2 linked regions of the Struthio camelus genome follow. The protein of the gene in region 2 interacts with the protein of the main gene of each other region in a biochemical or structural test. Links are inferred from orthologs where the notes say so. Each region holds a gene or a part of one and is shown on either strand. Other genes may lie near its edges.

Region 1 (3,740 bases), on a different chromosome or scaffold from region 2:
CATGGTGGCCTGAGGCATCTCCACAACCCCATGGTAGCCCATGGGATCCCCCAGCTCCATGGTGGCCCCAAGGACTCTCCCAGCCCCACGGTGGCCACCGGGACCCCCCTAACCCCACGGCGACCCCCTCCTGCAACTCACCCCCGGCTTGAAGGAAGGCAGCCCCAGCCCCACGCCGATGGTGGCCTTGTTGGGGTTCACCACGGAGTTGTAGTGGATGTTACGGTGGTAGCTCACCCGGATCGGTTCGTCCTCGTTGTGCTGGATCCCGTGGAAGGTGTTGATGGGCTCTGTGGGACCCCCACGTCAGCACCCCAGGGACCCCCACGGACACCGGGGACCTCACCACCACCCCGTGGACCCTGGTGTCCACATCCTGCTCCTCCACCACCCCATGGCCATATCACTCACCAGTGCCGTACTGGTAGACCTCCACGGGGCGGTTGTACATCTCGGCCATGGCCTGCATCTCAATGTGGTTGCCGTGGCAGGTGCTCTTGCGCTTGCGGTTGATGTAGGTGGTGAAGTCCTCCGTCACGTAGTTGGAAAAGTAGTCGGCGTTCTTCATCTGTGCGGGCCACCAGCGCTGGGCCACGCCACCACGGGGACTGCCACCGCCAGGACCCCCCCCAGAGGGGACAGAGGGGACACCAGGGTGGCAGGGGACAACTAGGGATGCCGAGGACCCCAGGGCAGCCCTGGGGACACTGGGGAGCACAGGGGGACCCTGGGGACATGAGGACAGCCCCAAGGTGGCACGGAACAACTGGGGGGACTGAGGGGACCCCAGGGGGACACAGTCTGGCAAGGGACACCAGGGAACACAGGGGGACCCCAGGGGGATCCAGCCTGGCAGAGGACATGGGGGACCCCAGTGGACACGTGGGAATGCCAGGGGGACAGGGCCTGGCAGGGGTGGGGACAGCAACACAGGGCCACTCACCAGGTAGTCCATACAGTGCTTGCGCACCACCTCGTGCATGTCCTGGTCTCCGTACACCTGGTCGGCTGCAGGTGGGGGACAGCGCGACAGCAACGGGGCGCGGGGTCAGTGCCTGCGCCCGGATGCCTGGGTCCCTGCCCCGGGCGCCTGGGGCGGGCGAACGTGCAGGGGAGGCAGCGCGGGATGGGCACAGGGTGTGACGCGAGGTGACACAGGAGAGATGCAGGACAGATGTGGGGTGACACAGGACGGCTGCAGGACGGCCGCGGGGTGACACAGGACGGCCACAGGGTGACACGGAACAGCATTGGGATGACTGTGGGGTGACACGGGATGGCAGTGGGGTGACACGGGACAGCGGTGGCTCACCCACGGCCCGGAAGAGGCAGGCGCCATCCTCCTTCATGCGCTTAATGATGAAGCCTTTCTTCTCGCGCAGTGCCTTCTCGAACCGGTGCTCCTGCTGGAGACAGAGCTGGGCTCAGCCGGGGCCCCAGCATCCGGGCAGGACCCCCCACCCCACCAGCAGCCTGCACCATGCCAGGGCACGCGGGACAGAGACCAGCCCCCACGGGACACAAGTAACACGAGGACGCATGTGACATGAGGCCACGTCCCTGCACAACACAACCCTGTACGTGCACATGCAACACAAGGACGCAACCCTGTGTGACATGAGGCCGCATCTAACAAGGCCTCACATGTGACATAAGGGCAAGGCCCTGCATGACATGAAGACACGCGCAACAGGGACATGCTTCTTCCACATCATGCAATGACACACGTGGCAGCAGCCCTCGACCAGACACACACACACACAACACGGCCAGGACACGGGTGACAGGCACACGTGACATAATGTACCCACCCTTGCACAGTCCCCTGTGGGACATGGTGACATGCATGTGACAGCGCCACCCTCCCTGCACAATGGGACGGCACATGCGTGACAGTGACCAGCCCCTGTGGGACGCAGGGACAGGCAGGGGGGCCCGGGGGCCCTCCTATGACAGACGGGACAGTGCCAGCACCCTGTGTCACATGCATGTAGAAGTGCCACCTCCCCGGGCCATACAGGGATGCATGTGGCACCCCCAGCTCCTGTGTCACACAGGGACACACACGGCAGCACAGACATGTGGTGGTGCCAGCCCCATGTGTCACACAGAAACACACATGACACTGTCAGCCCATACCACACACATGTGCCAGCATCAGGCCCCACATGTCCCACAGGGACATGTGCAACCCCCCAACCCATGACACCTGCGTGGCACCATCAGGCCCCACATGTCACATGGGGACACACATGACACCACCAGCCCGTGTCACACACGTGTGGCACCATCAGGCCCCACATGTCACACGGGGACTCGCGCGACCCCCCCAACTCCGCGCCACCCCCACGATGCAAGGGGGCAAAACCAGGCCAGCCGGTGCCCCCCAGTGTCCCCCGCGTCCCCCCCGGTGGCGGCACCTGCTCGGCCGTGGCCGGGTCCAGCTCCACCCGCGCCGCCTCGTACTCATCCTCGCTGTTGTAGCCGCCACCGCCGGCCTCATCCGGGCCGGGGCTGCCGCCGCCGCCGCTGGGCCCGGGCCCGGGCCCGGGGCCGCCGCGCCGCCGCCGCTTGCTGAGCCCGGGGCCGCCGCCCGCCGCCACCACGGCCGCCGCCATGACGCCGCGCGCCTCGGCCCCCTCCAGCCCCAGCAGCCCTCCGGGGCCGCCGTCGCCGCCGCCGTTCCCGGAGCCGGCGGCGGCGGCAGCGGGCGGCGGCGGCGGCGAGGCGCCGGCGGCCGCCCAGCCCCGCAGCGGCGGCGGCGGCGAGGCCCGAGGTCGGGGGCCGCCGCCGCCGCCGCCGCCCTCCGCGTTGGGACCGCCGCCGCCGCCGCTAGGCCCCGGCTCCGGGTGCGAATCGGGGCCGGCGTCCGGATCGGCGTCGGGGGCCGGGCACGGCTTCTTCTTGGGCAGGATCGTCATGGCGGCGGCCGCATGGACCCCCCCGGCGCCCCCCCGCCCGCCCCGTTACCGGCCGCCGCCGCCGCCCGGTGCAGGCCGCGGGGCGGCCGCGCGCTGCGCCGCCTCAGGGGCTTTTTGATCCTCGGCGGCGCCCGTACTGCGGCCAGCACCCCCACCCCTCCCCTACCCTCGCCTCCGCCGCCGCCGCGAGGGCCCCGGCCTGGTGTCAACATCAACAGAGCCGCCCTCTGACCCCGCCGCCGCGCGCGCTCGCTTCCGCCCCGCGCGCCGCGCCCATTGGGCGCCGCCGCACACGCCGCGTCGCCATTGGCTACAGCGCTCGGGGGGAAGTCCCGCCCCCTCGGCACCTCCTCGCTCCGCCTGCCCGGCCCCGGCCCCGCCTCGCAGGAGGAGGAGGGACGGGCCCGGCGTCGCCGTGGCGACGGCGCGCGCGCGCGGAAGGCACCGCCATTGGCTGGCGGCCGTGCGGCGCGCGGATTGGTGGGGCGAGAAGGGGGGCCGGGCCAAGGCGTGCCCACCCCCTCCGCCGCCTTGCGATTGGCTGCTCCCCGCGGGGGCGGGCCCGCCTCCCCCTCGTCGGCTCCGCTTCCTGGCCCCGCCTCCGCCGCGCCTATTGGCTGCGGCCGCGACCTAATTTCCCATTGGATGGCAGCTGCAGGAGGCGGGACGATGCCGCAGTGGCCCTACCCCTAACTCCGCCCCGCGGCTGTCAATCACTCCCCAGGGGCCACCCCTTCCCTCCCCCTCCCTACCAGCTGAGCCCCCTCCCCCTAAAAGGGACCCAGGCGTCTGGGGAACCCCCCCACTCCCGTGACCTAG
Region 2 (3,740 bases):
ATTAGCAGCAATGCTACTGATAAAATTGAACTGCCAGTTCCAGCACATACATATGTGCCTCAGTCCTATTTATGAATCATTCTGATTTCACTGCATTACAAGTTCTGATACATAGCTACCACATTTCTAGTCAAATTATGTTTCTGAAGTGGAAATTTATGATTTGCAGCTCAGATCAAGGAGCCACTTGATTTTTCAGAATAAGTCAGTACTTAATAGCACTTCTGTAGCTTCCTCCATATATTAATTACCACATTTTATGAAGCTTCCTGTATCAAATAAAAGTTGTAAGAGCTGCTGCTGTGGTTAAAAAAAAAAAGCATTATGAGGACTGAAGCGACATCGTATTTAACATCAATAAGTCAACAAAACAGGTGACATACTAAAAGAATATCAGATGAGCTCTTTCATTCTGAGCTAAGTGTGATAATTACATGCTAAATGTTTTCTAAGGGCCTATCAACGTTAAAAAAAATGAAAAAGAAAAATCACTGAGGTCCTTTCAAGATCAAAGTCCTAGATCTTACCCTAAATCAAAATAGTAGGATGAAGAAGCAGAAGCACTCCTAGTACAGCATTACCTCTCACAGTTTGTCACTCTAAAGAAAGAAGCTGTAGGTCAACTTTGAATGCACGACTGTGGAGAAAGCCAATCAATCCCTTAGGAAAGGTTAGGCCTCCTCCTAGGAGGCACATGAAGAACGAGTCCTGTAAAATGTACTATCCAGGTAAGGGAAAAAAAAAAAAAATGCACTCCACATTAACATGCTTTGGGTCACAGACCTATTTTATCATTAGAAATATCTTCTCCCTGCTTAAGGACAGGGATGATGCAGTTTGGGAGAAATTTATCTTTACAATGACCTATTTTCCTCCTCATAAGCCCTTGAACTTCAGCTGTGTTTTAACAAGAGCCATCTCGGGAAAGACAGATCACTTTTCCTAGCCTAAACTACCAACAGTGGAGTGAGATGGACCGTGATCTAGTCTCAAACTTAGTAAAATCCAGGAAGACAAAAATATAATCAAGCGTACGTATATTTATAAAAACTTACATGCACTGATAAATATTAAATAGTATTTAGCTATAGTGTAAAAAATACTTAGGTTTCTATCCAGTGTTGATTAAAGATTTTGATTTGCTCATACATAAATTCATAAGAAATTCAAAGTGCAAAGTTACATATTTCTTAAGGATTTACGTATAACCAGGCACAAGTGAAATTTACTAACTATAACATATACAATTAGTAATTGCTACAGAAGAAATATTTGACAGCCACACAGAAGGCTGTAAAACACAGATCCAGCAATGAAATCTACTTAGGTAATAGATTTAATTTTCTCCCAAGTATTTTATTTTCTCCCAGCCTGCAATTTCTCTCCCATAAACCAAAATAAAGTTAGCTATGAGATTTCCAAAAAACACTGTGCTTCTGTTCTATCTGTCATACCAAGCTGAGCCAAGCCGCATACAACCAGCGATCTGAAGATCAGGCCACCCTTCTTGTTTAAATAACCCGCAATAATAAATAAAGAGGAACATAAAGCAGACTCCAAGCGTGCATACGCGTTACATCCTTCATGCACGTCTCTATTATCCTCCCCTCCCCACTCGCACACACACACCGCGGTCTCCCATCTGCATTGTCTGCCTCGATTCATCTCTGATTAAAATGGACACATTCTCGCTCCTCCTCGCGCTCGGCCCGGGAGCCACGATAACCTCCTTCCTGGGGCGGACATCGGCACGGGGCACGCGGAGCCGAGGCCCCGCCGCGGGCCCACGGCGGAGGTCGCGGCCCGCCACCCCCTCTCCCGCGGGGGGCAAAGTTGACGGCGCCGGCGCGGCCGCAGCGAGAGGACGGCCGCGGCCCCGCGCGGGGAAGGCGCCGGGAGCGCCCGGCGCGGGGGCGACGGGGGGGGGGGGGGGAGAGGACGACGACGACACCGGGGCCGCCCCCCCGCGGCCCGGCGCCGCCGCTGCCCCTGCCCCAGGGCGCCCTCGGCGCGCCGCGCTCCGGCCGCCGCCGCCGGCCCCTCCCCTCACCCACGGGGGCCGAGCTGCGCCAGGCCGGCCCCTCCCCTCCGCCCCCCGCCGCACCGGCCTGCCCCTCACCGGTCATTGAGCTGGTCCTCGGTGCCCGGGAGCGGGTGCACCACGAAGTGGATCGAGGTCATGTTCCGCGCCGCCGCCGCTGCCCCCCCCGGCGGAGGGAGGCAGGCGGGCAGGCGCCGGGCACACAATGGGGGCGGGGGGGGCGGCGGGGGGAGGGGGGCGCTCGGCGTCTTTCCCTCCCCCGGGGGCGCTCGGGGCCGCCGGCGGAGTCCTTGGCTCGCCCGCCGCGACGCGGGGCGCGGGGGACGAGGGAGCCCGCAGCGGAGTGCCGGGAAGAGGCTCAGCCCGCACCGCACTCACACACGCGCCGCCATCTTAACTTCCAGCGGGCCCTTCTCCCTCCCTCCTTGCGCCGCGCCGGGGAAAGGCGGGGCGGCGGCCGGCCGGCCGCTATGCAAGCCGCGCGCTGAGTGGTGCGCTCGCCGCCGGGCAGCGCCCCTCCACTAAGCGGGCGGCGGATTGGCGGGATGGACGGGAGGTCTCGCAAAGCGCGGTGACGTCATGCGCGAGGGACGTGAAAGACCACGTGCTCCCGAGAGCAACTCCCCGGCGCTCCCCTTGGCCGCCGCCGCTGGCGGTGGCGTGCGCGCGCGTGCGGCGGGGGCGGGGCGGCGGCAGCGGCGGCGCGCGCGCGGCTCCCTGAGGCGCGGGCCGGGCCGGGCCTGTGGCGGCCCCTGCGGCCGAGCGGGCCGCGCCGGGGGCGGGCGGCTCCGCCCCGCTCCCCTCCGCTGCGGGAGGCGGCGAGCGGCCCCGGCTGGGCGCCTGCCACCGCGGGTGGGCGGGCGGAGCCGGCCGCGCCGCGCCGCCACTCCGCTCGCCAGGGCCGGGCTGGCCGGAGCTGCCGTTTGCCCGTCGGCTTAACGGAGAAGAGAGGCAGAGCGGGTGGGCGGAGCCGCGCCTCGCCACGCTTTGCTGCGGGCCTGGCGAACGAGGCGTGTCAGTGGGTTTTCGCCTCCTCAGGCCCTCCTTGTGGCGCGGGTGACCTCAGAGGGGATTTTCGAACTAGCTGCCCTTCGTTATCTGCTTTCCCAAAGTTAGGAGGCTGGTTTTCAGTTCCTGGCTATGACTAGCCGGTCGCACAGTCAGTCTTCTCTCTAATAGCCAAAATTTTCCACCCTTTTCCAGGCAGATTTGTGCTATATCAGCGTAGAAAGTTATCCCTGAAACACCATGGAGCACTTTGTGCCTTAGTGGCTGCGCACTGTGCTCCTGGAAGGGATTTTATCATGCTTTTGGAAGGGAACATACTTTGCAAAAGGGATGGTTTTTAAGAAATTAATATCTAAATTTACAGAAAGTCGAGTAACAAAGTCAAAACATTCGTTGGTTTCTACAGAAACCAACACCTTGGCTGGGATTGTACTAAACGTTGGCTTTGACTGGATTTTACTGTCTTTGCAGCTCATTCTGTTTATTTGCAGGAAATCAGAATTTTAGAAAACTGACTTGGAATTTTTTAGCATGTGCAGAATGCTTGCCACTCTACAAAAAAATTTGAAACTTGGTTCACTGAGATATAGGGTTTTTTTGGGCCTATGCAGTCATAATCCCTAGAAATCTCAGCTTGCTCTTCCCCTCTCAAATCTGAGGAGTGCATGTCACTTTGACATTTGCCATCACC

The links. The genes of interacting proteins can lie anywhere in the genome.
Region 1: the proteins of UBR5 (region 2) and OTUD5 form a complex in vitro, tested with the Homo sapiens proteins (2 studies listed by BioGRID, with this or other methods). The link is inferred for Struthio camelus from reciprocal best matches to the Homo sapiens genes UBR5 and OTUD5.

What each region holds. Positions count from the first base shown.
Region 1 is NC_090979.1:307,387-311,126, forward strand, and holds the start of OTUD5 (OTU domain-containing protein 5), read right to left. Parts: upstream 2,937-3,740; 5' UTR 2,922-2,936; coding exon 2,421-2,921; intron 1,407-2,420; coding exon 1,313-1,406; intron 1,009-1,312; coding exon 944-1,008; intron 569-943; coding exon 412-568; intron 291-411; coding exon 142-290; intron 1-141. UniProt on the Homo sapiens protein: Deubiquitinating enzyme that functions as a negative regulator of the innate immune system. Has peptidase activity towards 'Lys-48'- and 'Lys-63'-linked polyubiquitin chains. Can also cleave 'Lys-11'-linked ubiquitin chains (in vitro).
Region 2 is NC_090943.1:145,523,706-145,527,445, reverse strand, and holds the start of UBR5 (E3 ubiquitin-protein ligase UBR5), read right to left. Parts: upstream 2,292-3,740; 5' UTR 2,182-2,291; coding exon 2,120-2,181; intron 1-2,119. UniProt on the Homo sapiens protein: E3 ubiquitin-protein ligase involved in different protein quality control pathways in the cytoplasm and nucleus. Mainly acts as a ubiquitin chain elongator that extends pre-ubiquitinated substrates.